Stegostoma tigrinum: one gene and its partners. The protein of the gene in region 4 purifies or fractionates together with the protein of the main gene of each other region. This does not show direct contact. Links are inferred from orthologs where the notes say so. Each region holds a gene or a part of one and is shown on either strand. Other genes may lie near its edges.

Evidence for each region.
Region 1: the proteins of mecp2 (region 4) and ddx56 purify together in Homo sapiens (affinity purification with mass spectrometry; 3 studies listed by BioGRID and IntAct, with this or other methods). This does not show direct contact. The link is inferred for Stegostoma tigrinum from reciprocal best matches to the Homo sapiens genes MECP2 and DDX56.
Region 2: the proteins of mecp2 (region 4) and gtpbp4 purify together in Homo sapiens (affinity purification with mass spectrometry; 3 studies listed by BioGRID and IntAct, counting the BioPlex papers as one, with this or other methods). This does not show direct contact. The link is inferred for Stegostoma tigrinum from reciprocal best matches to the Homo sapiens genes MECP2 and GTPBP4.
Region 3: the proteins of mecp2 (region 4) and kpna4 purify together in Homo sapiens (affinity purification with mass spectrometry; 3 studies listed by BioGRID and IntAct, counting the BioPlex papers as one, with this or other methods). This does not show direct contact. The link is inferred for Stegostoma tigrinum from reciprocal best matches to the Homo sapiens genes MECP2 and KPNA4.

What each region holds. Positions count from the first base shown.
Region 1 is NC_081393.1:10,121,008-10,128,583, reverse strand, and holds the start of ddx56 (probable ATP-dependent RNA helicase DDX56), read left to right. Parts: upstream 1-4,560; 5' UTR 4,561-4,609; coding exon 4,610-4,666; intron 4,667-7,576. UniProt on the Homo sapiens protein: Nucleolar RNA helicase that plays a role in various biological processes including innate immunity, ribosome biogenesis or nucleolus organization. Plays an essential role in maintaining nucleolar integrity in planarian stem cells.
Region 2 is NC_081355.1:136,686,895-136,694,596, reverse strand, and holds the start of gtpbp4 (nucleolar GTP-binding protein 1), read left to right. Parts: upstream 1-4,696; 5' UTR 4,697-4,782; coding exon 4,783-4,830; intron 4,831-7,702. UniProt on the Homo sapiens protein: Involved in the biogenesis of the 60S ribosomal subunit. Acts as a TP53 repressor, preventing TP53 stabilization and cell cycle arrest.
Region 3 is NC_081367.1:27,530,192-27,537,903, reverse strand, and holds the start of kpna4 (importin subunit alpha-3), read left to right. Parts: upstream 1-4,701; 5' UTR 4,702-4,876; coding exon 4,877-4,936; intron 4,937-7,712. UniProt on the Homo sapiens protein: Functions in nuclear protein import as an adapter protein for nuclear receptor KPNB1. Binds specifically and directly to substrates containing either a simple or bipartite NLS motif.
Region 4 is NC_081402.1:3,533,859-3,541,360, reverse strand, and holds the start of mecp2 (methyl-CpG-binding protein 2), read left to right. Parts: upstream 1-4,496; 5' UTR 4,497-4,568; coding exon 4,569-4,600; intron 4,601-4,978; exon of another isoform or gene 4,979-5,095; intron 5,096-7,502. UniProt on the Homo sapiens protein: Chromosomal protein that binds to methylated DNA. It can bind specifically to a single methyl-CpG pair. It is not influenced by sequences flanking the methyl-CpGs.

The DNA of each region.
Region 1 (7,576 bases), on a different chromosome or scaffold from region 4:
GTTCATCCAGCTCCACACTTTGTTATCTCAGAGCCCGCATTCTGATCACTCATAGGCACCACACACACTATGGCTTCAGCATACATGACATAAATCATGTAATTTTCTTAGCAAATTCATGTCACTACATAAGCATAGAACCGTGAGATTGGATCTGGAACACTTTTGGGGCTGAAATCAAAGGACAGGAAGTAGCTGAACCTGTTGTTTGATCTGAGAATCAGCCTCTCAAGCATAGCAGCAGATAATATCGATTGGTGCTTTGTTGAAAGCAGTGCATTCTTTCAGTTTTCGTGTTTTTGTACTGTTGACAAGTGAAAGGAGAAAGGGCAGGACTGCTAAGTCGTTCACAGGTGTATTCCACCTGCAGATCTTGGACAAATGTTTAAGAAGCAATTCAGTCGAGCATTTTTCCTGCAAGGATTTCCATGGGGTGGAAAGTTTTGCATTGGACTGAAATAAAATTGAGTCCAAGACTGTAGCTGAGTTCAGAATCTGGAGAAATGTGGCCTTTCCCTATCTCAAATGTCCCTTTCCCTTACAATCTGCATTGTTCCTTTTCTGCCTTTTTGAACATTGCTGAATTTAATCCACCATTGTGTCTGCTTTAAACTGCTGAGAATCATTTTTCTTTGAATGAGCACATTTCTTTGACCACGGAGGGTGGTATGTTCTCATAACCTCTCACGCAGCTCAGTGTTACATTTTGTTTAACAGCATTTCTGTAAAGTGACTTTCAGTGTTTTATGACCTGAAATGTACCATGAGAATACAAGTTGTTGCAAATTGTGGAATTCAGGGTCAGTAGCTTTTAAAGGTAGATAGGGTAGTAAAATGGGCCTATATCATGCTTGCCTTCACTGGAAGGTGCATTGTGTATGAGGATAGACACGTTATGCTGCAGATATATAGACCTTTAGTTGGACCACATTTGGAATATTGTGTACAGTTCTGGTCACCAAAGTACCAGAAGATATGTATGTTTTGGACAGGGTACAGAAAAGGTTCACCAGGATGTTGCTTGGTATGGGGGATCTTAGCTAAGAAGAAAGGTCAGATAGACTGGGTTTGCTTTCACTGAAATGCAGGAGGTTGAAGGGTCGACCTGATCGAAATTTATAAGATTGTGAATGGCATACATAGAGTGGAAAGAATGAGGCTTTTTCCCAGGGCAGAGGGGTCAATTACTAGGGGACACAGGTTCAACATGTGAGGTGGGGAATGTTTCAAAGAGATGAGCGAGGCATGCTTTTCACACAAAGCGTGGTGAGTGCCTGGAATGTGCTGCCAGCAGAGATGGTGGAAGCAGGCATAACAACAGCATTCACGAGCCAATTGGACAAATCCGTAAATAGGAAGGGAACAGAAGGATACAGATTCTCGAAGTGAAGACAGTTTTAATATGGAAGGGCAAAATGTGTTGGCACAGGCTCGGAGGGCCAAAGGTGCTGTGCTTGTTCTTTGTTCTTTTACTGCTTTTTCAGTCTGAACTTGTTCCTGGTCCCACACTGGTTTGCCCACATTCAGAAACATGTTGTTAATCACATGCAGTTGTTGAAGGATTCCAAGTTCTTCACCTTCTCATTTCTGCCCAAATTCCTTCAAGTGTCTGACAATTTTATGTTCTTGGGAGCCATGAGATCCAGCTGAAAAAGCAGTGTTTTCCGAGTTTTGGACTGTTCTTTTGATCGACGCCCAGAATTTAAGATGATGTAATATTTCTGATGTACGTTTTCAGTCTCAGCTACCATCTCTAAATCACATTGGCGCCCTGCTGACTCAGTTGTTAGCAGCACATGCTTACAGCGCCAGGGACCCAGGTTTGTTTCCAGCCTTGGGTGACTGACTGTGTAGAGTTTGCACATTCTCCCAGGTCTGCACGGATTTCCTCTGGATGCTTTGTTTTCCTCCCACAATCCAAAGATATTCAGGTTAGTTTGATTGGCCATGCTAAATTGTCCAATAGTGTCCAGGGATATGCAGTTAAGATGGGTTAGCATTGTGAATAAGGGTTTACAGGATAGGATGGGAAACTGGGTCTGGGTGAGATGCTCTTTGACAAATTGGTGCAGATTCGATAGGCTGAATGGTTTCATTCCACTCTGAAGGTTTTCTAATGATTACCAGCCTATTCATCGTGCCAGCTGCAGGTGTCAAGTTTCTGCCAAATCTCATTAATGATATGTGTCAGACTGGGCTCATATTTATTGCTCATCCTGAATTGCCCTTGAGAAGGCAATTGTGAGCTGCCTTCAGTAACCACTGCGGCTCAGCTATATAGGATCATTGAATCCCTACAGTGTGGAACCAGACTATTTGACACATTGATTCTATCACAACCCTCGAAAGGACATCCCTCCCGGACCCACCCTCCTACCCTATCCCTGTAAACCTGCATTTCCCATGGCTAATCCACCAAGGCTGCACATTGCTTGACACTGTGGGCATTTCAGCACAGAAGTTCCAGGACCCAGTGACAGGGCTTGAACCTGCCACAAATTTCCAGTTCAATGTAGTGAGTGGCTTGGAAGGGAGCTTGCAGGTGGTGGTGCTCCCGTGTGTCTTCTGCCATTTTATTCTTGTGTGTGGAGGTCAGAGATTGGAAGGTGCCTTGGACGAAGCATCTGAGATCAGACTTGTGTTCCTTCTCTGTTACATTTTATTTACTAGACCGACTCTCTTGTGTCTCACTGACCAGAGTTGCTCACAATATTCAACCCGTAATCTGAGACCAGATCCGTGTACTGATCGCTCATCATCTGTCTATGTGACTGGTGAAACCATTGCATGTGTTACTACTTTGGAGTGGTCACCCATTGAATGCCATGTCTACTTCAGCTCCCAAAACTCTTTCCACTTAATCGTCGGCTATGTTTAGGATGTAGGTCACTTGTTTTGTCCTGCTGTTTCAAGATGTCAACAAGATGGCTCCTGAGCTGATGCTCATCCACTCTGACCTTTCCTTTTGTCCACTTTTTATTTACCTCTTGTCCTAAGCTCGGATGGCTTTGGCGGTGCCAAGGAACTCGTGGCAATTTGCCTGAGCCCAGCGCGGACACTCTGGCAGCTGCGAGTGAGCACCTACTTTTCCAGGTAAATGCAGGGTCTGGCATTGCATTTGGCAACTACTTAAGCAGAGGTGATGTCAGTGAGGTTGACTTTGCAGCAAAAAATGGGGATTGCCAATTTTATCCGGTGAAGCAGTGGCAGATGGGTGTCATGGTGACATTGTGTGGTCCCAGTGGGGGGAGGTGAGACTCTGATGTTGGTGGGTCTGTTGCAGGTGGAAGCAAGGGTGTGGTGCAGGAGAATTGGCCCAGCGACAGCACATGATGCCTGAAGAATGGTGAGTGACAATGGGAACTGCAGATGCTGGAGAATCCGAGATAACAAAGTGTGGAGCTGGATGAACACAGCAGGCCAAGCAGCATCTCAGGAGCACAAAAGCTGACGTTTCGGGCCTAGACCCTTCATCCCCCTCTCTGATGAAGGGTCTAGGCCCGAAACGTCAGCTTTTGTGGTCCTGAGATGCAGCTTGGCCTGCTGTGTTCATCCAGCTCCACACTTTGTTATCTCTGAAGAATGGCGATATTGTTTGGGTCTCGTGTAGATGGCTGTGGGACAGTAGAGGAGGGATGGCAGCACAGGCATTGTTGATGGGAAGCTGTCTCAGGACGGATGGACTGTCTTTAAGCTTTTTCTTTATTTTTAAAATTATTCAAAACGGTGCTGAATTGTGGCGACCATGGAAAAAAACTTCTCACTTTTGTTTCCTGTTCTCACTGTAAAATACACGTGACAGTAAGTCATAGAACATAGAACATTTCAGCACAGTACAGGCCCTTCGGCCCTCGATGTTGTGCCGACCTGTCATACTGATCTGAAGCCCATCTAACCTACACTATTCCATGTACGTCCATATGCTTGTCCAAACTCATTCAAAATTCATTCATTTTACATGCAGTATTTGACCTGTGTGCTCTGCACGTACTATTCAGCATGCTCTGGAATTTGTCAGTCCCTGCTGGGATTGTTTCGTATTCTCAGAAAATGTAATTTTTTCCCTGAAATGAAAATGCTGTGCAGAAGGGAATTTGGATTTCACTTTTCCATCTGGGTCGAACGTGGAAATCGCTTTGCGGACTTGGCAATCAAGTCAGCAAGCAACACGGTGACAAAACCTGACGATTCTGACCCAAATGAAGCGAAGTACGACGGATGTTGAACGTCAGAATCAAAAACAGAAATTGCAAGAGTTCTGGCAACATCTTTGGAGAGAAAGCCGAGTTAATATTTCCAATCCAGCGAAATGCTTCTCTTCTCAGACGATGTCAAAGCGACTGAGTTTCTCCAGAAATTTCTGTTTTTATCACAGTTCTGACCAGGGCTGTTTAACTGGAAGACAGAGTTGCCTCTTGTTTTCGGATTTGGACATGCTATTTTGAGCAATTCTTTGAGACCGATGGTTTTAACGGGAGGGCAAACCCGCACAGGCTGCGAACCAAGCTCCTCTGCACCAACTACGCGGATTGAACTGCAGTTACGCGGCGCCACCACGGACGGCAGCAGCGAGCGCCGCGTGGAGTCACGTGACATCCCGAGGCGCAAGATGGCGGCGGAGAAGTTGAGGTTCCACGAGATGGGACTGGATGAGAGAGTCTTACAGGTTTGACAGAGAGCTGGATGGATATGGGGGAATGCGAGTGTGACAGGATAGAGAGGAGATTACCAAATACAACCAATAGAACTCTGAGATAGTGGGAACTGCCGATGCTGGAGAATCTGAGATAACACGGTGGAGAGCTGGATGAACACAGCAGGCCGGGGAGCAGAAAGGCTGACGTTTCGGGTGTAGACCCTTCTTCACAAGCCGAGGGGAAGAGGGTGGGGATCGGGGGTTTGGACAAACAGCAGTGAACCTAAATGACTGGAATAGTGAACCTGGGGCCAATGGCGTGGGTAGAGTATGGGGGAGGAATAGGGGCTGGAGGGTGGTGGTGGAATAGGATATGGGTATGGGTTGAGGGGAAGATTATGGGGAAGTGGTGAGTAGGGTATGGGCGATTGGGGTGGTGGACGGTGTGGGATATGAGGAGGGGAGTGAGGATGAGGGGATGGTAGGGGAAGAGGGGAGGTTGGGGTGGGAAGCATGGGGGAAGAGGGTGGGGATAGGCAGCTTGGACAAACAGCAATGAACCTAAATGCCTAGAATGGTGAACGTGGGGGCACAGGTGTGGTTGGAGCTGAACAGTTCAAGAGAGCAGAGATGATAGGAACTGCAGATGCTGGAGAATCCAAGCTAACCAAGCGTGAAGCTGAATGAACACAGCAGGCCAAGCAGCATCTCAGGAGCACAAAAGCTGACATTTCGGGCCTAGACCCTTCATCGGAGAGGGTTCTGGAATAAATAGGGAGAGAGGAGGAGGTGGACCGAAGATGGAGAGGAGAGTATAGGTGGGGAGGTAGGGAGGGGATAGGTCAGTCCAGGAAGATGGACAGGTCAAGGAGGTGGGATGAGGTTAGGAGGTAGGAAATGGCAGTGCAGCTTGAGGTGGGAGAAGGGATAGGTGAGAGGAATAACATGTTAGGGAGGCGGGGTCAAGCTAGGCTGGTTTTGGGATGTGGTGGGGGAAGGGGAGATTTTGAAGCTTGTGAAGTCCGCATTGATACCATTGGGCTGCAGGGTTCCCAAGCGGAATATGAGTTGCTGTTCCTGCAACCTTCGGGTGGCATCATTGTGGCACTGCAGGAGGCCCATGAGGGACATGTCATCTAAAGAATGGGAGGGGGAGTGGAAATGGTTCGTGACTGGCAGGTGCAGTTGTTTATTGCGAACTGAGCAGAGGTGTTCTGCAAAGTGGTTCCCAAGCCTCTGTTTGGTTTCCCCAATGTAGAGGAAGCCACACCGGGTACGGTGGATTCAGTATACCACATTGGCAGATGTGCAGGTGAACATCTGCTTAATATGGAAAGTCATCTTAGGGCCTGGGATGTGGGTGAGGGAGGAGGTGTGGGGGCAAGTGTAGCACTTCCTGCGGTTGCAGGGGAAGGTGCCAGGTGCGGTGGGGTTGGAGGGCAGTGTGGAGCGGACAAGGGAGTCATGGAGAGAGTGGTCCCTTCGGAAGGCAGACAAGGGTGGGGATGGAAAAATGTCTGGGGTGGTGGGGTCAGATTGTAGATGGCGGAAGTGTGGGAGGATGATGCGTTGTATCCGGAGGTTGGTGGGGTGGTATGTGAGAACGAGGGGGATCCTCTTGGGGCGGTTGTGGCAGGGGCGGGGTGTGAGGCATGTGTTGCGGGAGACGCGGTCAAGGGTGTTCTCGACCACAGTTGGGGGAAAGGTGCGGTCCTTGATGGACGTGGACATCTGGGATGTGCGGGAGTGGAATGCCTCATCCTGGGGGCGGAGGCGGAGGAATTGGGAATAGGGGATGGAATTTTTGCAGGAGGGTGGGTGGGAGGAGGTATATTCTAGGTAGCTGTGGGAGTTGTTGGGCTTGAAATGGTCATCAGTTTCTACCTGGTTACCTGAGATGGAGACTGAGAGGTCCAGGAAGGTGAGGGATGTGTTGGAGATGGCCCAGGTGAACTTGAGGTTGGGGTGGAAGGTGTTGGTGAAGTGGATGAACTGTTCGAGCTCCTCTGGGGAGCAAGAGGTGGCACCGATACAGTCATCAATGTAACGGAGGAAGAGGTGGGGTTTGGGGCTTGTGTAGGTGCGGAAGAGGGACTGTTCCACGTGACCTACAAAGAGGCAGGCATAGCTTGGGCTCATGCGGGTACCCATGGCCACCCTCTTGGTCTGTAGGAAGTGGGAGGAATCGAAAGAGAAGTTGTTGAATGTGAGGACGTGTTCGGCCAGGCGGATGAGGGTGTTGGTGGAGGGAGACTGGTCGTGCCCGCGGGACAGGAAGAAGTGGAGGGCCTTGAGGCCATCTGCATGAGGGATACATGTGTATAGGGACTGGACGTCCATGGTGAAAATGAGGTGTTGGGGGCCAGGGAATTGGAAGTTTTGGAGGAGGTGGAGGGTGTGGGTTGTGTCACAGACGTAGGTCGGGAGTTCCTGGACCAAAGGGGAGAAAATGGAGTCCAGACAGGTGGAGTGATAATGGGAAGGGTCTAGGCCCGAAACGTCAGCTTTTGTGCTCCTGAGATGCTGCTGGGCCTGCTGTGTTCATCCAGCCTCACATTTCATTATCCAGACAGGTGGAGATGAGTTCGGTGGGGCAGGAACAGGCTGAGACAATAGGTTGACCAGGGCAGGCAGGTTTGTGGATTTTGGAAAGGAGATGGAAATGGGCCGTGCGGGGTTGGGGAACGTTAAGGTTGGAGCAGTCTTTGCGAGTCATGAAAACCCACAAATGTGGTAAAGCATTACTAATTCTTGCAGATTCTGAAGAAGAATTTAGACCCGAAATGTCAGCTTTTCTGCTCCTCTGATGCTGCTTGGCCTGCTGTGTTCATCCTTCTCCACATCTTGTTAACTCAGAACTCTGGATGCTGTAAATCAGAAACAAGAACAGAAATTGCTGGGAAAACTCAGCAGGTCTGGCACCAACTGTGGAGAGAAATT
Region 2 (7,702 bases), on a different chromosome or scaffold from region 4:
GACTGCAAAAAGTACTTTTTAAAAATATTTCTGTCTGCAAGGTACAGCACCTTTATGTACTTATTTTTGTAGCTTCCAGAACACTCAAGTGCACCACAACGCAAGCCAGACTGACAATCCTAAATTGTAATTCTTTGCACACTCAGGTTTCTTTTGCAAATATTGTCCAACCATGGAATCAAACCCATGTTGTACACTGTTGTGAGTTTTGCAAGTGTGGGCTTGTCGCACACAGTCAGTATGATTGCCTGTTGTGAAGAGCCAAAGGGATATGCTGTTTGATTTGATTTGCTAGTCCATAGAACATATGGCTTATGTACATGGCATCACGCCGGTAGTGAAATTCATATATCACTTTAGTTATTTGTGTGATGTGCAGAATATCTTCTGGGCTTACTGGCAGCATCCTATTCATGGTGATCAGAAATCATATTGCCAGTCCATAGGAGTAGCACAAAACAGTGTGTTGTTCAAACTTTTGAGATGTCATACCTTTCCAGGCTCATCAGAGAGATAGGCATCTTTCATGACTAAACTAACTCAGGTCTATTTATGAATTCACATGAAACAGTGAGAAATTATCTGGTCACGTAGCCATTATACTAAAGGATAGCCTAGACTAAAAAGCTGTTCAGTCACACTGAGAGATATATCTAGTGTGTACATAACTACATATATTAATATACAGGAGCCCTTTTTTTGCAAATAGGAAGAAGAGGTACACATACAGCATCCTTTTCAACCAACATGCAGATGGCAGCAATTCTCTGGTTTATTTCTCACAGCAATATGTCGAACAAGCAAAGTTAACATGCCTAGTTTAAAATTTAAACAAACTTTGGAAGTTCACTTTCAGCATCCTCCTCTCTTAAAGCATAATTGTTGTTTTCACTTTACTTTGGGACAATGCTCAAGAAGTATTAATAAATGCAACACACTATGGCAAATTGTCTTTTTTATGCAATTCTCAAATAAATTGAAAAGTTTATATTGCCATGGATGACTGATCTTGCTGTTTTTCCAAACTTCACTTGAAATATGTTCATGGGTTAAAGTGAAACGTCAAGAAATTATGATCCATGAGACAGATCAAGAGTGGCACATCTGTCCTTGCATAACAAGTGACTCAAGCACTGTGAGCATAATTTAATCAACCTGTAGATAAAGAAAAATATTTGTGTACAAAAGTTAACAGCAGTTCATTATGTTGAGTCAAGGTCATCTATCCCCATTAGATCAAATAAGTTACTGTACACTATTGCATCTGTGTTTGGAATAGCTCTTCACTGCACCTGTTCACTCTAATTCTATCTCACTGCCCTTTCTCAGTGCTGTGATCCCTATATAAACCAGTAACTTTTATAAAAAATGTGAACATCGAAGTAACGGTTGACAGAATCACGTCACAACAGTTTAAGTTTTAGGATTTTACTATAACATGCAAACTATAAGTAACATTGGGAAAAACATTGTTTTATATGGCAAATTGTAGAAATATTGGCCAGGACTGGGAAGAGCTCCTCTTTTCATTAATGAAGTTGTGCCATCAGATTTTTCATATTTAGTTGAGGGGGCAATCTGAGACTTGATTCAACATTTCACCCAAAGTCAAAACCTCCAGCAGTGAGGTACTCTCTCGGTACTGCAGTAAGGTGCCAGTTTAGCTTTATAGCTGATGTGGGATCTGACTTTGAAACAAGTGCATTCCTAGTGAACCACAAATAACCAATCCTTGTTGGAGTCAGTAATAGCCTGAAACACGCCACCCATTTGAAATTCATAGTAACTACGTGTGAGGATCCAAGGGTTTGGGTTATAAGGATAAGGAATGACTTGGAAGATAAGGGGTGCATATGTCTATTTAGGAAAGGGAAAATAAAAACTGTATTTGGATTTTTAAACTCAGAACAGAACATGAATGTTTACAATTTTTGTCTCAGGCAAAATCATTTGCAACATTCAAAATTTTCCAGGGAACCTTGATCCAACTTGTGCAGCCATAGGAAATTTAATGGGGGAAAGTAAACTTGAATATCTTCAAATCTTTTTTCAAGGATAAGAAATGAAATTGCTTATCAAACATTCAGTAGTTTCATGAATCTAACAAGATGTACTTACCAAGAAAATATGCCTCCTATTGATATAAATTTGAAGGGGAGGTTCCACTGCTCTTCTGTATTTTAGGATTTGCTTGATGAAGAATCACCCAAACAATACCTCCTACATATGAGCTTTACAACTTGTTAATTTTATGCCAAATTTTAATGACATAGATGTTCTGCTGCTATCTTTGCAACAGTGGTTCTGACATAAATAATTTTAAAATCACAGATTGACACTATACAGAAGGAATTGATTTGCCGTATTGTTTGTGTTGGCTTGAAATTGCAACCCATTAGTCTAATCTCTTGCTCTTTCACCATCTCTGTATTTTTCCACTTTAACTATTTATGCAGTTTCCTTTTGAAAGCTAACTTTTGGAGGACAGCACATTCCAGATCAACAAAGAGTGTCATGTTTATTCCTTACATTTGGCTGGATTTTTGCATGAAATGGAAAATATAGGAAGCATGTTTAGTAAGTTTGTGGATGACACCAAAACTGGTGAGGGAGTGGACAGCGAAAAAAATTATCTCAGAATACAATGGGATCTTGGTCAGTTGGGCCAATGAGTGGCAGATGGAGTTTAGTTTCAGTAAATGTGAGGTACTGTATTTCGGTAAGACAAATCAGGACAGGATTAAACTATTAATGGTATGGTCCTGGGTAGTGTTGTCGAACAGAGAGCCCACGGAGTTCAGGTAAATAGTTCCTTGAAAGTAGTATCAAGGGTAGATACTGTGGTGAAGAAGGCATTTGGCACATTTGCCCTCATTGGTCAGAGGACTGAGTGCAGGAGTTGGGATGTCATGTTAAGGTTATACAAGACATTGATAGGACCACGTTTGGAGTACTGCAGACAATTCTGGTTGCTCTGCAAAAGGGAGGATGTTATTAAACTGGAAATGCTGCAAAAAAGATTTACAAGAATGTTTCAGATATAGTAGGAACTGCAGATGTTGGGAGAAGCTGAGATAACAAGTTGTAGAGCTGAATGAACACAGCAGGCCAAGCAGCATTTGAGGAGCAGGAAGGCTGACGTTTCGGACCTAGACCCTTCTTCATTTTTCTGAAGAAGAATCTCGGCCTGAAACATCAGCCTTCCTGCTCCTCTGATGGTGCTTGGCCTGCTGTGTTCATTCAGCTCTACACCTTGTCTTCTCTTTACAAGGATGTTACCAAGATTGGACTGTTTGAGTTATAAGGAGAGGCTGGATAGGCTGGGACTCTTTTCCCTGGAGCGTAGGAGGCTGAGAAGTGGCCTTATAAAGATTTTTACAATCATAAGAGGCATAGATATGGTAAATAGCGAAGATCTTTTCCCTAGGGAAGGGGAATTCAAAACTGGAGGCATGGTTTCACGGTGAGAGGGAAAAGATATAAAAGGGACCTGATGGGCAACTTTTTGACAGAGTATGTGGAATGAATTGCGAGAGAAATTGGGAGATGCACATACACTTCAAACATTTAAAAGACATTTGGTCAGGTACATGAATAGGAAAGGCTTAGAGGGACATGAGACAAATCAGACAAATGAGATTAGTTTAGTTTGGGAAACCTGTTCAACATTGACAAGTTCAACCAAAGGGTCTATTTTTGTGCTGTATGACTTTTATAAGTCAGGAAATTTCTAGATTTGGCTCATTGCCTTGAGAAAAAGTGCCCTTTGATTTTGGACTGGGATGGGAGGCTGCAGCCCTCGGTGCAGATCGCAGGATTGAATTGCCTCTTTCTGTGCCATAACTTTTCTGTGATGCTATGGAATTGGCCACAAAAGTTGCAGGATGGTCTGCTCCAATTGTTTTGTTCCTTTTACATTCTGTTACTTCCCCATCACACTCATGATGCCCCATTTTACTGTAGTTCGTTCAGCCCACAATTCTCCACGTCAATGCCCTACAAATGTACTGACTCGTGCAGTCCATGGTCCCTCACAGTCCCATGCTAACTTAGTGCCAACTCATGCTCGCCACACACCATTTTACACCACCTAAAGCTAAAACGGCCAATATTTACAAACGGCAGACCGCGACAGCCATGGTAAAATAAAGATCTAAACGTATCCTTTATCTTGTTCACTTTGCTCTTAGTACAGAGGACCCATTCCCCTCGTTCGACACCTTAATTTACAACTATTTTACTTTATTTTCTCTCTTTCTCCACCACTAACAACGCTTTGCCTCCTCCTCGGTCAAAAGTACATATTAAAAATAAATTGACATTTTTCAGTTCCGAAGAGCCATGCTGGAGTCGAAGTTGTCAACTCTGTTTATCGCTCCACAAACACTGCCAGACCTCATGGGTTTCTCCAATGCGCTGTGTTTGTTCTAAATTAAGCATCTTTCACACTCTTCACGAAAATAAACTATTGCTCGTATTCACCAAGGCGCCAATTCTCTAACCCCACCTGCAGGTGTCGGTACAGAAAGGCGCTGTTTCACCTCCCAGACTGGGAGGAGCGCGGTGGCGCTGTTTCGCCTCGCAGACTGAGAGGAGCGTAGTGACACGTTTGGCATCTCTCAGTCTGGGTGGAGCGGTGTGGCGTCGTTTCACCTCCCAGACTGGGAGGAGCGGTGTGGCGCTGTTTCACCTTCCAGACAGGGAGGACTGAACAAGCTGGACCATCTTGTTAAGATTGCTCGTGGTTTCCTCTTCTCTCCGGTTGCGGAGTGGTGGGTCGTGATGGCGCTTTACAACTTCAAGAAGATCACGGTAGTGCCGTCCGCTAAGGTAGGTGGTGGCCGTTTGGAGGCTGCGAGCGACTGGCCTATCAGACGTTGTACATATTGAAAGGCTGGGTTGGGTCAGAGTGGCGAGTAACTGGGCCGAGAGCTCCCGGACACGTGTTCCCCGTCAATCCTATATTTCCTCCGCTTGCTCAGGGCTGAGTGTAACGTCTCGGCCCGCAGCGGATGGGGATGGGGTGTAAAGGTGTATTTATCAGGTTCCGGCAATTCTTAACGTGTTCATAGGTTTGAACCCTCTCCCCAGCCGGCTTTTTATGTTCCACACACACGAACCGATTGGTCACTCTGCACTGGCCAGGTTGGGACAATGATTTAAAATATCATCGTTTTACTGATTACAGACTTGAAGGGAGTGTAGAATCTTTCCAGGACTTGGGAGTAACTCCCTCCATCACCAACCCCTACCCGTCCCAAAAAAAAGTGGCTGTCAATTCCCCTTCAATTTCATCGGCTGGTTAAAGGGACGCCCCAGTCACCGGAAGGCGTTGATGGTTGTCGAAGGCTCTTCCTTCTCCTCCGCCCATGCACCTTCTTCCTGCCCCCGCATCAATGGATCATCTCCAGTTTGATGCGCAGGTTTTCACTGCGCAGCCCGAATGAAATTTCTTTCGCCAGCTATTGGTTTGCGGGATTTTAATTTGGTTTCACTCTTTTTCAAAACCGAAGTTTGGAACTTGACACTTTTGGATTGTTTCCTCTAGCAGAGTGATGATGTGGAGCTGCCGGTGTCAGACTGGGTTGGACAAGGTCAGAAATCACACGGCGCCAGGTTATAGTCCAACAGGTTTATTTGAAACGCAAACTTTCCAAGCCTCAGCCCTTCTTCAGCTGTTAGTGAGAGAGGTAGTGTCAGACACAGAATTTATAAGTAAAAGATCAAACGTTTGCACCATTGATGAGGATGTACTAAACAAACCTAAGATGATGTTAAATCTTTAATCAGTGGAAGGTTTAATTGAATAATATGTATATGTAAATCTTTGCATTCCTTTCGAGTCACAGTCCTGAGAGAAATAAAGGTTTTTTCAGAAGAGCCAGCCTGACTCCAGTCTAAGGCACTTGCAGATTCTAAACAAGGTCTCACATCTAACGTATATTGTCTGACCTAAGATGTCACCACTTCTTTACACTGACAAAAGCCTTCATTCTCTTGGGGCTGCCACTTGAAAGGAATTTGCTGATTTCTGTGTACGTATTGATCAATTAAAACCTTCCAGCTGATTAAAGATTTAACAGCATCTTAGGTTTATTTTGTACATCCTCATCAATGGTGTGAACCTTTGGTCTTTTACTTATAAATCCTGTGTCTGATACTGCCCTCTCACTAACACCTGAAGAAGGACTGAAGCTCCAAAAGCTTGTGTTTTCAAATACACCTGTTGGACTATAACCTGGTGTCGTGTGATTTCTGACCTTGTCCTCTGGCAGAGGGCAATAATTTAGGACTGAGATGAGGGTAATCTTTTGTTGTGAATCATTGGATTCTTCGAGTCTAGAATATGTTGCATAATTGAGTGCACTTGAGTGTATGTGTGGAATAGATAGAATTTTGCAGTCTTGGAGAATCATGGAATATGAGAGACAGATAGAAAAGTGGAGTTGAAGCCGAAGGTTAGCTATGAGTGAATTCAGTGCAGGAGGAAGTTCAAAGTCCTTATGATCTGCTTCAGTTTTTTTTAATGATCTTGTGTCTTCATTATTCAAGTAAGGAGGAAAAAAAATTGTGTGCTTGGGCTTGTTAGTGATTTGCTATCTTGAGAACTTTATGCCGTGCATTTCCCTTAAGTGATGTCAAAGTCATTTCAATACATTTCTCAGTTTGAGTTTGCTAAAACATGCATTTTGTCGAAGTATTTTATCTTGTACTCATCGGGACAATCCACAGATGTCAATAGGGGAAGTAGTGGGAAAGAATTGACTGGATGAGTGCAAGATGAGAAGGCTCCATGAAATTTCTTACTCAGCATTACACACCTCCACAGTTCATTTGTGCGATGTTGTTAACCCAAAAAAATCCTGAGTCCTAAATCCAATAATTATAAGACAAAGAAAATTATTTCAAACACAGATTTTGTGTGCCTGACAAATTTGGACAATCAATATGCTTAGGTAATGGATATCTTGGTTACATCTAGGGTGCCAAAACATTGATGAATTGTAAATTTGTGGCAACTTTCATTGTCACAGGCACAGAATATAGTTCCTAACTCCAGTTAGGATTGATTCAGTAAAGAAAGCCTGAGTAAAGAGTTTCACACGTGGAATTTTGGCAACAGGTGAAGGAAGGTTGTATAGTTTAGTGGGGCTGGGTTAAGGAACAGGAGGTCGAGGTCTGAGGAACAGGCTGAGATCGAAAAGATCATGCAGAAAAAACTTTGAAAATACGCCCCGTAAACTTCATCTCCTTCAAGGTTCCAATAACCAGGTATTGGACAGCAGCAAGGCTTTCTCACTCATCATCGTACTTTTAGCTGATCTGTGTGGAGGCTGTGTCATTGTACCTTCAATTTTAAAAATTCTCATCTTTAGTTATCAATCTCACAAAGGACTATTTAATTTCTGTCACAACATTAGAGGGAGTACTGAATGTATATGTGTAAATTCAGCATCTTTTAAAGTGAGATGTTTTTAAAGACAGTTCTGCTTACTGTCACTGAACTTTACAGATGGGTAATAATACCTCTTCCATTTAACCAGAGAGCGTTCATTTTAACTGTCAGGTTTTTGCAGTTGAAAAAGTAGATAGTTTGTTCAGAAAGACATCCAGATATTTCTGCATCCGAGCTTTGCAGCCTATCAACATTTAAATAATAAGCATATTTCCTTTCCTTTCTGCCAAAATTAACAATTTGACA
Region 3 (7,712 bases), on a different chromosome or scaffold from region 4:
AGCTTTGATAACAAGAGTTTTTCAGCCATATTCAAATCCTGCATTCCCAAGGAACTCCAGTTCAACTACAGTTGAATAGGATGTAAAAAGTAGCAATGAAAATAAAAACCTGAAAATAAGGCACCAACCCAGTGAAACTGAAAATAAGTTGTTGCATTGTGAAAAGGGGAAGCATATGAGACATAAAGCTAAATGACACTACAGCCATCAGATCTGTAATCCTGGCACATTCAATCATGAATGATGGGGAACAAATAAACAACTAATGGAAGAAAGCTCCATGAACATCCCAATCTTCAAAGATGCTGGAGCTCAACTGTCAAGTTTGAAGCATTTCTATAATCATCCAAAGGTAATCACTGCATGATCTTTCTAGGCCTTCTCCTATGATCCACATCATCACAAATACTTAACTTCAACCAATTTCATTATTTGTGTGATGTGAATAAACAGTTGAGTCCACTAGACACAGGAAAGATTACAGGCCTGTGAAATTCCAGATGATGGTTCTGAAGATCCCAAGCCAGGAACAGTCTCAGTCTTAGCCAAACTGTCAAATATAATTGTAGTATTGGAATTTAGTCTGTTGCAAAACTGCCCAGATGTGTTCTGCTGAAATTGCACCTAAATTGTGCCTATTGCTGTCCACTGAACCACTTCCGACCATCAGTAGAATGATGGAAGAAGTCATCAATGCTCTTTCCAAGCCTGGCATACTATCAGTTAATTGATCACTGGTATTCAGTTTAGAATTCACTGGAATTATTTGGCTCAAGTCCACTTAGACCAAGCACAGGCACAAAAGCTGAATTCCAGATGTGTGATGAAAATAACTACACCTAACATAAAGGTAACATTCGACGAAGTGCAGTTCTACAAGCTTTGTTACAATGAAGACAATGATGTTTGGGGTGGAAATTCTCTAATGGCTGGAGTAAAACTGACGCAGATATATAGAACATAGAACATTACAGCACAGTACAGGCCCTTCAGCCCTCGATGTCATGCCGACCTGTCATACCAATCTGAAGCCCATCTAACCTACACTATTCCATGTACGTCCATATGCTTGTCCAATGATGACTTAAATGTACTTAAAGTTGGCGAATCTACTATCATTGCAGGCAAAGTATTCCATACCCTTGCTACTCTCTATGATCACTGGATGGGATCATCTACGTCTTAGCGAATTGCTGGTGGAGTGTCTCAGGGCAATGTTCTAGATCTAATTGTACAACTGATGCCTACACTGACATTAGTTGGCTCCAAGTCTGGACTGCTAATGCTACATGTCCACAGGCAACTAGGCATGGGACAATAAATCCAAGCTTTGTTAGGGATGTATATATTTCAGACCGAATAACAAGCCAGGAGGTAACATTCACAGAACACAAATGTCAGACAATAACTATCTCTTGAAAGGCATGACCAGTTTCCTTCCATTTTCAGTGGCAGTATCATTACTGCATCCCTTACAATAGCCCTCTTGGGGTCGTTGCTGATTAGAAACTAATCTTGACTTGTCATGTAAATAATGCTGCTACTCTAGCAAATCAGAGGCTAAATATTCTGCTGCAAGTAGCTTACCTCCTCACTCCTCAAAGCCTAGGGAGTTTACAAACACCAAGATAAATTTCCCTGGATAGGTGCTGCATTACTTTACCTTGAACAATGCATTCCACTTGATTTTCACCCATCCAATAACGTAAACATCCAATCTTTTAGAGAGAGAGTTGTGATCTGTACTATCTATTGGATACACTGGCCTCCAGATCATTACAGACTGGACATATAACAGATGATACATATTAGGATCCTATAGAAATTCTCATAAGCAAACCTATGTAAGAAACACCCAGGATGTTTAAACTCTTTTAATTGATGATCTTTGGATGACGAACAATAAAATATCAGCCATGCCACAGCGCCCATGTCTTGAGAATGAATTTAATAAAGTATTATTTTTCATTAAGGATACAAGATTTAAAAGGGGTATTGCTCTTTTTCACAAATGCTGAGAACCAACATTCTTGTTAGGATGTCCTCTGTGGAATGTGAAATTGTTCAATTTGTTTTTGTTTAAACCCTTGAGTTAACAAACCAAGATTTTATTCAGTTATTGAAGATAGGACAATTTAAAGTGACAGTCTTACTACCATGTTGATATTGGTTAGATGTTGTATTTTTATCTCAGAATAAATAAGGTTTCCGAAATGTTAAAATCAAATTCTCACAGATTTAAAAAGCTTGTCTCACTTAAAATATCTTCTGAATGATTTTGGGTAATGGTGATTAAAGAAATCAATACATTATATGACCAGATTGCATCAAAACTCTTCCCCATTACAACAGCACTTTAAACAGTTGCTGTTACCTGCACAGCAAGCACGACCTTATAACAAGTAGAAAACTTTACAATTTTTCTAGTGACTGTTGGCATGTTACATGGCAACCATTTTGTTACACAGTACCAACAAAACACAGAATGCTGATTCGAGTTTTCTAATGAAGTGCCACACAGCAAAGTGATCATACATAATGCAAAATGGTCACTATACTTGTCACAGATGCACCAGTGATGTCACCTGTCTGTAAAATGTCAATCCGCAGGAAGCATATATGCATGTGCGGTGATGTCATCATCATCGCATGCACCACAGATGAGGAGTAGGGGAGGTGAGTCAGAGACTGAAACCCCACTTGGAAAGGAAGAAAAATTGGAGCCAGGAGGTTGTGCCCAGGGACAGGGCTACTGCTGCACCTGCTCACCATCCCAAATCCTCTTGTGAACCTTTTTATTTACTCTCATTGGGTTCATCACATTAGACACTTGTGCAGCACTACTTTGTTCTGTCATGCAGTGATGTCAGTTCATAACAATGTATGTACACATTCTTTCTATCAGGTGGTGGTGGCAATTACAACACATGTGGCCACCATACAAATTTGAATAAAAACGCAATGCTCTGTTAAATTATCATTTTAGAATGGCATATTTCAGCTGCATTCACTGGCCTTTTAAAAAAATCATATATCAGAGTAATATCAAAAGAGGGCACCTGTCCAGATCTTAGGATGTCCCAAAATGATTTATAGTCAATAAGTTATTGTCAACTACAATAACGCAGAAAATGCAGCAACCAATTTGCATATATCAATACTTTACAGATAAAAATATTGGACAGTCCAATCGTCAGAACACCACTATGTGCCTTTGAACTAGTGCTGTGGAATCCTTGAGATGCAACCGAGGAGTCAACAGGCCTCAGTTTAATAATGCATATGAAACTTAATGAATGAGAAATCTGGAAATCTATAGAAAACTAAAAGCCCTTGTTTATACTGGTTTATAGGACAGCTCTTAACAGAATGATTTCCGAGTCAGCTTTACCCATATCATAGGATCGTTGTGTCATATAGATTTCAGCTCAAAAATGTAAACCAGTCACCACGAGATCATGCTGCCAGACTGGATCTTTGCTATAAAGACACTGCTTTAACAAAACATTTGAAAGAAATTGGTGTTTTTAAAAGCAACATGTACTCTCTCAGATTTAGAACTGGCCCAGGAAGACTGAGCTCAAAAGACTGTCATTTGGAAGATATAGGATTTTGCAATCAATGGCAGGGAAGCAATGCTCACTTGCCTACGGAGCTTTTGAGGGTTCTCACAACAGGTTCCCTCCGATCCAGCTTCTTTTCCAGCCTCTGGCTACAGGACATGGTCTCTGACAACAGGACAAAAAACAAGGTTCTTCAGCCAATCTGACTGAAGAATCTTTACTGAGAAGTTGAATGCAAACCAAGAACTATAAAAAGGGAAACAATTTACATAATATAAAACAACAAAAGTGTGGGGAATGTGGTTAATATTAAGGGAGAAAAATCTCCAATATGAAGTTTCTTTGGAGTTACAGGTCTTCCAGACTCGTTACAGTATTTTCAAGGCCATAAAGTTTATTCATCAATAACTATTAACTTCAGCTTTTCTTTCATTTTCCCCACAAGTGTATGCCATATTCGAGTGCACTGACACAATCCTCTCCTGGTCAATATCCTTTCTCAGGAAGAAAGCCCAACTCGGTACATTAACTTTAGTCTTTAAATGGGTTCACTATTAAGTTTCCATTTTACACTTAACACCTTATTATCGCAGCACTTCAGAGTTAAAATCATTTACAAAAAAATGTGCAGGTCAAATTATTATAAGGCAGTGAAGGCGCCAGGCGTTTTACACATTTAAAAAAAACTGTCCACAGAACTGACAACTACCTGGTATCTTCTGAACTCCTATATTTCTCAAAACTAAAGGGAGGACCTTATTCAGATTAATCCATAGCTACAAATCGCCCGAAGCCCACAGAAGCATGGCGCGCTCAAACCTAACTCCAATTGAATGTCTGCAAATTCTTCCCCTTACCCCGGGCTCTAAGTGCGCAGCGCGAAACTCGCACTCGCTCCAATATAGCAACAGCAGGCACGGTTGCTAAGGGCCGGCCGGGCCGGGGCTGGCCTGAACCAGCGAGCGGGAGCTTGGGAGAGGCCACAACTCAGTCGAACTGGCGCGGCTAGGCGACAAGCATGAGGCGCGCAGGACTGACGGAAGGCAGCGCCCCCCTGGAGTCGGGAGGACCGCCCTGGCGTCGCGACCATCCGCTCCGCATCACCGGCAGGGGCGAGCCAATCAACGTCGCTCTTACTGTGAGTTGCCCATTGCGGCGAAAGTGAGGCTGAGCGTTTTACCGGCATTTTGCCTGATTCTGGTGAAGTCAAGTGAGCTGAAAGGCAGGTGGAGGGACGGCTGCTTATTGTTTCGTTTTCACCATTAGGAATTCAGTAACCAAGGGCAAGTTTACTTCTCGAGAGGCACACGGCAATGGCGGACAACGACAAACAGCGGCTGAAGAATTTCAAGAACAAAGGGCGGGATCTGGAGGTGAATTTGATTTTTTTTATTGTTCCTTTTAGTGTTTGTGGCGGTGCCGCCGCCGCAGTGACGTCTTTAGTAATTTGTGAGGCACCCGAGGCAGGGCCTGTCTTGAGGCCTGAACCGAGCTTCCAGGCGTGAGCAAGGCAACCAGGCGGAGACGTTGGAAGTTAAAAGGATAACGTCAATAAAGAGGCTTTCAAATAACTTCGTTCTTCAGCAGGGTTCGGGATTTCCCTGTTGACTAATGACTCGTTCACAAGCAACAACACTTGGCATTTTCATGCGATTTGAAAATGAACGATTTCTGAAAAAATGTGCGTCTTGCTCTTATTTAAATATTCTGGAAGTTCGTCATTTGAAAACAAACTGCCTGTTCCAAATCACACAGTAGGATATACTTGAAGTTATTTTTACTCGAACAACACAATTTCAACGGTTAATAAATACAATGGATCAAATTCTCCTATAGGTCGTTTCTACAGGTGCTGTTTTGGTATATAGTGGTTTGTTAAATTGTTTTATGTATAGTTAGAAAGCAAATAGTGAAGCAGTCATTCTAAAGGAATACATTCCCAATAAGCCAGAATTGTAGTGCCTGCTGTATTGAAATCATTTTTGAATCTCCCAAATATATCAATGCTTTACATACAGTTCCAGAAATGTTACTTCTAGGGAATTTTTTTTTTCTAAATTTCAAGGGTAATGATACTGAAGAATGATTACAGGGAATTGTGAAAGTTGCATCTAGCCTGTGCGTTTCAGAAGTAATGCACGAATAGGTGAATCTTTTGAACTGAGAACATGCTAAAGCCAAAATTAAATTTTACTTACAAAAACAGAAGTTGCTGGAAAAGCTCAGCAAGTCTCGCAGCATCTGTGAAGACCGCGTTAACGTTTTCAGTCTGGAGACCCTTCCTCAGAACTATTAAACTTTACTTGATGTGTACTGCAATATACATCTTAATTTTATTTAGTTGGGAAACACTTGACTATTGCCAGCATAGTTCTTGTTAAATTATAACACTTAGTAGAAAGTACGGCTAAAATATTTATATTACAAAAAGGATCCCATGAAACTTGGAGTTATGATAAGGGTTGCTACTGTGACAGGAGCTCCCCCTCCATTTCACCAGAAAAGCTAACCATAAATACATGGATGTAATTGTGCCCTGTTCTTAATTGCAGTTTTTTCACTTCCCATCTAATCAGTTACAAATAATTTGAGCAAAATGAGTGGCACACATCACAAGAACTAGCAATAATGCTTCATAAGCTATAATATTTTAGTTTAAACGCTCAGTACTGATAACATTGCTGAATAATAATTTTATGCATTTGAGTTGAATTAGCACAATTGGTTGTCTTTAATCGCATTTGGTTTGTGAACATTTATAGCTTTTTTTGCCTTGGAAACAATTTAAAATCTATAATCATGTTGGCCCTCAATTGTTATAGGCAAAAAGAAGTATCAGTGATAATGGGAACTGCAGATGCTGGAGAATCCAAGATAATAAAGTGTGAAGCTGAATGAACACAGCAGGCCAAGCAGCATCTCAGGAGCACAAAAGCTGACGTTTCGGGCCTAGACCCTTCATCAGAGAGGGGATGGGGTGAGGGTTCTGGAATAAATAGGGAGAGAGGGGGATGCGGACCGAAGATGGAGAGGAGGGTATAGGTGGGGAGGTAGGGAGGGGATAGGTCAGTCCAGGGAAGACGGACAGGCCAAGGAGGTGGGATGAGGTTAGTAGGTAGGAAATGGAGGTGCGGCTTGGAGTGGGAGGAAGGGATGGGTGAGAGGAAGAACAGGTTCGGGAGGCAGAGACAGGCTGGGCTGGTTTTCGGATGCTCTGGGGGGAGGGGAAGAGCTGGGCTGGTTGTGTGGTGCAGTGGGGGGAGGGGACGAACTGGGCTGGTTTTGGGATGCGGTGGGGGAAGGGGAGATTTTGAAGCTGGTGAAGTCCACATTGATTCCATTGGGCTGCAGGGTTCCCAAGCGGAATATGAGTTGCTGTTCCTTCAACCTTCGGGTGGCATCATTGCGGCACTGCAGGAGGCCCATGATGGACATGTCGTTTGAAGAATGGGAGGGGGAGTGGAAATGGTTCGCGACTGGGAGGTGCAGTTGTTTATTGCGAACCGAGCAGAGGTGTTCTGCAAAGCGGTCCCCAAGCCTCCGCTTATTTATTGCAAACCAAGCAGAGGCTTGGGGACTGCTTTGCAGAACACCTCTGCTCGGTTCGCAAAAAACAACTGCACCTCCCAGTTGCGAACCATTTCAACTCCCCCCCCCCCCCCCCCCCCCCCATTCTTCAAACGACATGTCCATCATGGGCCTCCTGCAGTGCCGCAATGATGCCACCCGAAGGTTGCAGGAACAGCAACTCATATTCCGCTTGGGAACCCTGCAGCCCAATGGTATCAATGTGGACTTCAGCTTCAAAATCTCCCCTTCCCCCACCGCATCCCAAAACCAGCCCAGTTCGTCCCCTCCCCCCACTGCACCACACAACCAGCCCAGCTCTTCCCTCCCCCCAGAGCGTCCCAAAACCAGCCCAGCCTGTCTCTGCCTCCCTAACCTGTTCTTCCTCTCGCCCATCTCTTCCTCCCACCCCAAGCCGCACCTCCATTTCCTACCTACTAACCTCATCCCACCTCCTTGACCTGTCTGTCTGTCTGTCTTCCCTGGACTGACCTATCCCCTCCCTACCTCCCCACCTATACTCTCTCCACCTATCCTCTTTTCTCTCCATCTTCGGTCCGCTTCCCCCTCTCTCCCTATTTA
Region 4 (7,502 bases):
GTGAATGAATGAAATAAAAAAAGAGGCAAGTGAAGACGTCCAACCTGAACAACGCAAGTCAACTGAGCTGCATCTAATTTCATGGGAGTCAGAGCAAATCACTGCAAAAAAAACTGCTCCTTCCATTAGAAAATGATTGCATGATCCAGAAATCTAGAATAATACAAGGAAGAACATTCAGGGGATTACAGATGCTCTAGATAAGAATGGCCAACAAGAGCATCTACAAAGAACAATGTTCTTTAAATCACAGAATTGTTAGAGCACAGAAGGAGACTATTTGGTCCATCGTACCTCCGTGGCTCTTTAAAAGAGCATGAAAACAGCAGGCTTGGAGGGCCGAAGGGCCTGTTCCTGTGCTGTAATTTTCTTTTCTTTTTCTTTGTTCAAAACCTAATGTCAATCTCCTGTCATTTATTGTACACTTGCACACTATTTCTATCCAAATATTCATCTATGTGAAGGAGACCTGAAAGATAAAAAGTCCTCTAGCAGAGAAATGGTCACAAGTCAGAACCAAAGTCAACAATCATCAATCAAGCAAGAGATCTACCATCCTTTTATATCTGAGAGAGTATGTTCTGAGAAAAGAGTGAAAAATCTAGAACACCCGAAGGTAGAGATCTGGGAGCAGATGGGAGAGTGGTAAATGTAACAAAGATATTTACACAATTATTTAATGAGTTCACTATTTTAAAGAAAGTATATTTTTAATTTTACTTTATTTTTGATTATGAACTGAAATGGGAAAAAGGACTGTCTTAAACACCAGGGACCGTGCAAAGAATTGCTGTACTTTTTAACAGTAGATTACTCAATACTCATTGTATGTGCTGTTTGCACAGCTGCTTGTTCAAGCAGAGGGTGAGGTTACTACAGACATGCTGATCCTGGGGTGTGTACGAAGGGAAATTCCCCTGGCAACAAGAAGATGATTTCTCTGTGGATTAGTGATCATTGGTTGATGACATGGCCTCTTGCCCGCTACCAACTACGCGGTTAGTGCCCTGGTTACTGGATAGCTTATGGGTGTGAATATTTGGTTAGAAGTCATCAGACCATTGAAAAGGAAAGAGCTAATACGGTATGAAGCTGGATGAACACAGCAGGCCAAGCAGCATCAGAGGAGCAGGAAAGGTTTACGTTTCGGATTGCGACCCTTCTTCAGAAAAGGAAAGAGCTGTTCTTTTGTTTGCATTGGAGCCTGAAAAAAGCCAGTCTATCTCTTCCCATCAGTTCTGTAAATTGTGGCTCTTAATCTATAGATCAGACACTTTATGAGCGTGAACAGCCACCCTGTCCCACCTGCAAGCAAGTGAAAGTACCTGGAGAAGTTTGAGTTTGATTTATTGTTATCATGCATACCAGGATACACTGGAAAAGTGTGGATTTGTGTGCTACGTGGGCAGATTGTACCATAGAAAGTGCATCAAGGTAGCAGAACTGAGTGCAGAATATAGTGTTATGGTTGCCAAGAAGGTATGGAGAGAGAAAATTAATACTTGAGATACATTCAAAACTCTGACCACAGCAGGGAAAAAGCTGTGCTTGAATCTACTTGTGCTTGTATTCAAACTTTTATATCTTCTGCCTGATGGAAGAGGGTGGAAGACAGTATAACTATGGTGGGAGGGGTCTTTAATTACGTCGGTTGTTTTCCTGAGGCAGCAAGAAATATTGATGGAGTCAGTGAATGGAAGGCTGGTTTGTGCAATAGATTGGGCTGTGTTCATAACTATCTGTGGTTTCTTGCAGAATTGGGAAGAGCAGTAGCCATACGATACTGTGATACGTCCAGATAGGATGTTTCCTCTGGTGTATCTATAAAAATTGGTAAGAGTCCTTGTGGGCATGCCCAATTTCCTTAGCTTCCTGAAGAAAGCCAAAAGGGCATCTCAGCACAGGCCGTGGACAGGGACTATTGAACTGCCTTTTCTTTCCTTGCATTTTTCTTTGTCTGTACGCTTGTGAATGGGGTTCTTCTGACTCTGATAGGACACTGGAGGTGTGTATCATGTATGCCGTCTCTTGCACCTGGAGTGTCTCAGGAGAGATTCCTTCTTTTCTTCAGGCATTAATGGTATTGAGGCTACATCCATCATGAACTCTGAGGTTTCTTCGATGTTAGATGATGGAGGAGGACCCATGGTTTCTGACAGCCGTTATGGCTGTTCTGAGGTGCCCAGGTATGTTTTGCTCCTGCCCTGTTTGCAAGGTAGCAGCTTTCATAAACCACATGTTTATTTAGGACCACCTCACCTTACCTGAACTTTGTATATCATGGGATCTAACTGTGTGTTGACCTTGACTCATAACCACACAGGGCTGTTCAATGCCAAACTTTGTCACCTTAAGTAAACTGTCTTCCTTGTTTAGAGGAGGCATGTGCCTGGCATTGGTGTTGCTGCTGCCATTTCATGCTCCCCGCTCCCCCCTGCACCCTTAAATGGGAATATTAGATATAACCTGATAGGAGTCTTCACCCATCAACAACTTTGCTGGAGCTCTCCCTGTATTTTCGTAAGGGGTGGTCCTATAATCGAACAGGAAGTGGGACAGTTTGGTATCAAGTGAGGCTGTAGGCTGTTTCTTTAAAGTTTGTGCTGCTCTTTCTGCTCAGCCATTGAATGATGGATGGTATGGAGTTGTCCAAACATGTTAAATCCCATTCAACTTTAGGGAATACTTGAAATCCCTGTTGGTAAGTAACATCCCATTGTCCGTTACCAGTAGTTTCTGTATTGTGAAAATTGTTTGCAGCTTTACAATTGTCATTTCTGAGTTTGCCGAATAAACTCTGTGTGTGTTCATACACTTTGAATGGACATCCAGAGTAACCAAGAACGTTGAGACCATGAAAGGACTGGCATTGTCAAGGGTAACTGAATGTGGGATTCCTTGATTAGCCCAGGTTAACATCCCCAATTACGGATTCACCTGGCCCTTTTTACAATTACTAAAGTAACCTCTTTGCTTTTTTTTTTAAACCTGGTTCCATAGTATCTTATAGGCTATTACATGGCAAGGCTCACCCTCAGTTTGAAAGGAATATTATAATCACGTCTTATGCTTGCTGAGCAACACATGTTCCTGGTCCAACTACACCCTCCTTTTTAAATTCTGATCCTTACTTTCAAATGTCACAATGGGCTCCTTGCATTCCACTTCCTATAACTTGTCCAAAGACACACCTTCTGCTCAATGACCTTACTCCTTTGCTTCCCCAAGACCATGTTCCATCTCACACAGTTCCGACAACACTTACATGAACCCCCTGCTCTCCCCTGACCAACCACTACTCCCCAAGATTTACTGCCATCCTCTCCATAGATCAAACCCCCTCCCAAAATCACCTCTATTCCTCTTCTAAGACCACAAACTTTTTCTCCAAAGACCAGTCCCCAATACCACCCTTCCTCCCCTCCCAATACCACCCCCTCCCAAGATCCTGCCTCCTCTGTTCTCCCAAGACTCTGCATCTTTTGCTCTATCAAGATTTTGACAGGCATCCCTGCTCCTCCAAGATTATGCCCTCTTGCGCAGTACTATGCCCACCCACCAAGACCTGTCCCCTGCTGTCCCACCACTACACCATTCTGCTACACCAAGACACCATTCCCAACCAAAAGCCCCACCTCAGCCAGAGGCCCTCCCTCTCCCAAGACGTGGAGATGCCTCTGTTGGATTGGGCTGGACAAGGTCGGAAATTGCATGACACCAAGTTATAATCCAACAGGTCTATTTGAAAACACAAGCTTTGGCAGATTAGCCCCTTCATCAGGTGATTTCACAACTTGAGACCATGCCCCTCTCCCCAAAGACCCAGCCCCCTGACCAGGGACTCCACCTCCTCCCTCTGTGAACATGGCCCTTCATGATTGAACCACACCGGCTCATACATAAACCCCACCCCCTCACCCTTATAGCCATACACTCAAGCCTGGACACTTACTTTGGGACATGCCCCCCTCACAATGGGACTATGCCCCCTCGTCTGGAACCCCGTCCTCTCACACAGGGACCAATGTTCCTTCACATAAAGGATCATGCCCTCTCACTGAGGGTCCAGCTGTCCCTAAAGGACCCCATCCCCTCACCATTGGTCACTGCCACTCACTCAGGTACCCTGACATGGGGGCATCACCTCAAACAGGGACCACCCCACTTAGCACTTGAACCTGTCATCCCACAGAGTGGACGCTCCCATTTTGGAACCTGTCCCCTCATTTTGGGTCCGTATCCCTCACCAAGGGACCACGCTGTCCTCACTTTGGTACATAAAGGCTCCACCCTGGACCCACCCCCTCACTTTGGGACACACCCCATTCACTCAGACCACGCCCCCTCACGCACGTTCGACGCCCTCTGTCGCTTTGGACTCCGCCCCACCCACCCTTCCCGCCCAACTCCACCAAGCACCCCGCCCCCTCCTTCCCCGCCTCCACCCACTTCTCATTCCCCCCACCTTCACCCGGAACCCTCCCTACCCGAAACTCCGAACGCTCGCGAGATCTCGGCCGGTCGGGCCGCCCGCCCTGCCGGTGTGACGCGCTGGAAATAATTTGAAAATGGCCGCCGCGCCGAGCGGAGGAGAGAGGCTGTGAGTACTGGGAGAGGAGGAGGAGGAAGAGTGCAGTGGTCGGGGGAGGGGGGCGAAGCGGGATTGGAGAAGCAGCTCCGGCCCTGGTCCGAGAGAGAAAACCAGAGATCGGTCAATCCCCCTTCCGTGCTTCGGGACGGGAGGGGGGGAGGTGAACATATGCCGGCGAATGAACGGCGAAGGGGGGGGGGGTGAGAAGTTGAGAGAGAGGGCGGAGGTAGGCCCGGCCTCTTTCTCGCGCGGTGGCGGTCCCGATAATAAGCGGATTGTTTCACACACACAAAACTTGCCCGGTCTAGTGATAATAAATGGTATTTTTTTTGAAAAAGTTAAAAAATAAAGAGGGAGAGGATGGAACCGGTGGCGAGCGAGGCCTACCTCCAAAGGGTGGGGTGGACGGTCGGTCGGAGGTCGACGCTCGGCTCCTGGGCGCTCAGGGCCCGCAGCCGTTGGAGACGGCGCGAGCGGGCTAACGGTCGGGCCCGCGCGAGCGCGGAGTCATGGCAACCTCCTGTTCTACCCCCTCCCCCCGACAATCATCACCGGGGCGACGCCATGGCAACCAGGCGCGCAAGCGGGGTACCCGGGGGCAACCCCCTTCCCTCCATCTCCCGTCACCCCCTCACACTCTTAGCCTCTCTGTCTCCAAGTCAACACCAGCGTGTCTCTCTTTGCTCCCTAACACATAACAAATCGCCCTGATTTCACAGAGCAGGGTGATCGAATGGGTGGTGGGATGTTGGAGTTTGTGTGTGTTTGTGTTGGAATCTGATGTGCTAATCATTTTATGGCATAGTCACCTTATTTCCACCACTTCTTGCCCACTCTCTGTCAACCATGTCTTGCCATTTTCTCCCTCGTTCTCAACTCACCCTGAATTTGCCAAATTCCCAACACTAACATCCTCCCTTCCCCGTCTTTTGTCCCCCTCCCTCCCTCCCTCCCTTCCCCGTCTTTTGTCCCCCTCCCTCCCTCCCTCCCTCCCTTCCCCGTCTTTTGTCCCCCTCCCTCCCTCCCTCCCTCCCTTCCCCGTCTTTTGTCCCCCTCCCTCCCTCCCTCCCTCCCTCCCTCCCTCCCTCCCTTCCCCGTCTTTTGTCCCCCTCCCTCCCTCCCTCCCTTCCCCGTCTTTTGTCCCCCTCCCTCCCTCCCTCCCTTCCCCGTCTTTTGTCCCCCTCCCTCCCTTCCCCGTCTTTTGTCCCCCTCCCTCCCTTCCCCGTCTTTTGTCCCCCTCCCTCCCTTCCCCGTCTTTTGTCCCCCTCCCTCCCTTCCCCGTCTTTTGTCCCCCTCCCTCCCTTCCCCGTCTTTTGTCCCCCTCCCTCCCTTCCCCGTCTTTTGTCCCCCTCCCTCCCTTCCCCGTCTTTTGTCCCCCTCCCTCCCTTCCCCGTCTTTTGTCCCCCTCCCTCCCTTCCCCGTCTTTTGTCCCCCTCCCTCCCTTCCCCGTCTTTTGTCCCCCTCCCTCCCTTCCCCGTCTTTTGTCCCCCTCCCTCCCTTCCCCGTCTTTTGTCCCCCTCCCTCCCTTCCCCGTCTTTTGTCCCCCTCCCTCCCTTCCCCGTCTTTTGTCCCCCTCCCTCCCTTCCCCGTCTTTTGTCCCCCTCCCTCCCTTCCCCGTCTTTTGTCCCCCTCCCTCCCTTCCCCGTCTTTTGTCCCCCTCCCTCCCTTCCCCGTCTTTTGTCCCCCTCCCTCCCTTCCCCGTCTTTTGTCCCCCTCCCTCCCTTCCCCGTCTTTTGTCCCCCTCCCTCCCTTCCCCGTCTTTTGTCCCCCTCCCTCCCTTCCCCGTCTTTTGTCCCCCTCCCTCCCTTCCCCGTCTTTTGTCCCCCTCCCTCCCTTCCCCGTCTTTTGTCCCCCTCCCTCCCTTCCCCGTCTTTTGTCCCCCTCCCTCCCTTCCCCGTCTTTTGTCCCCCTCCCTCCCTTCCCCGTCTTTTGTCCCCCTCCCTCCCTTCCCCGTCTTTTGTCCCCCTCCCTCCCTTCCCCGTCTTTTGTCCCCCTCCCTCCCTTCCCCGTCTTTTGTCCCCCTCCCTCCCTTCCCCGTCTTTTGTCCCCCTCCCTCCCTTCCCCGTCTTTTGTCCCCCTCCCTCCCTTCCCCGTCTTTTGTCCCCCTCCCTCCCTTCCCCGTCTTTTGTCCCCCTCCCTCCCTTCCCCGTCTTTTGTCCCCCTCCCTCCCTTCCCCGTCTTTTGTCCCCCTCCCTCCCTTCCCCGTCTTTTGTCCCCCTCCCTCCCTTCCCCGTCTTTTGTCCCCCTCCCTCCCTTCCCCGTCTTTTGTCCCCCTCCCTCCCTTCCCCGTCTTTTGTCCCCCTCCCTCCCTTCCCCGTCTTTTGTCCCCCTCCCTCCCTTCCCCGTCTTTTGTCCCCCTCCCTCCCTTCCCCGTCTTTTGTCCCCCTCCCTCCCTTCCCCGTCTTTTGTCCCCCTCCCTCCCTTCCCCGTCTTTTGTCCCCCTCCCTCCCTTCCCCGTCTTTTGTCCCCCTCCCTCCCTTCCCCGTCTTTTGTCCCCCTCCCTCCCTTCCCCGTCTTTTGTCCCCCTCCCTCCCTTCCCCGTCTTTTGTCCCCCTCCCTCCCTTCCCCGTCTTTTGTCCCCCTCCCTCCCTTCCCCGTCTTTTGTCCCCCTCCCTCCCTTCCCCGTCTTTTGTCCCCCTCCCTCCCTTCCCCGTCTTTTGTCCCCCTCCCTCCCTTCCCCGTCTTTTGTCCCCCTCCCTCCCTTCCCCGTCTTTTGTCCCCCTCCCTCCCTTCCCCGTCTTTTGTCCCCCTCCCTCCCTTCCCCGTCTTTTGTCCCCCTCCCTCCCTTCCCCGTCTTTTGTCCCCCTCCCTCCCTTCCCCGTCTTTTGTCCCCCTCCCTCCCTTCCCCGTCTTTTGTCCCCCTCCCTCCCTTCCCCGTCTTTTGTCCCCCTCCCTCCCTTCCCCGTCTTTT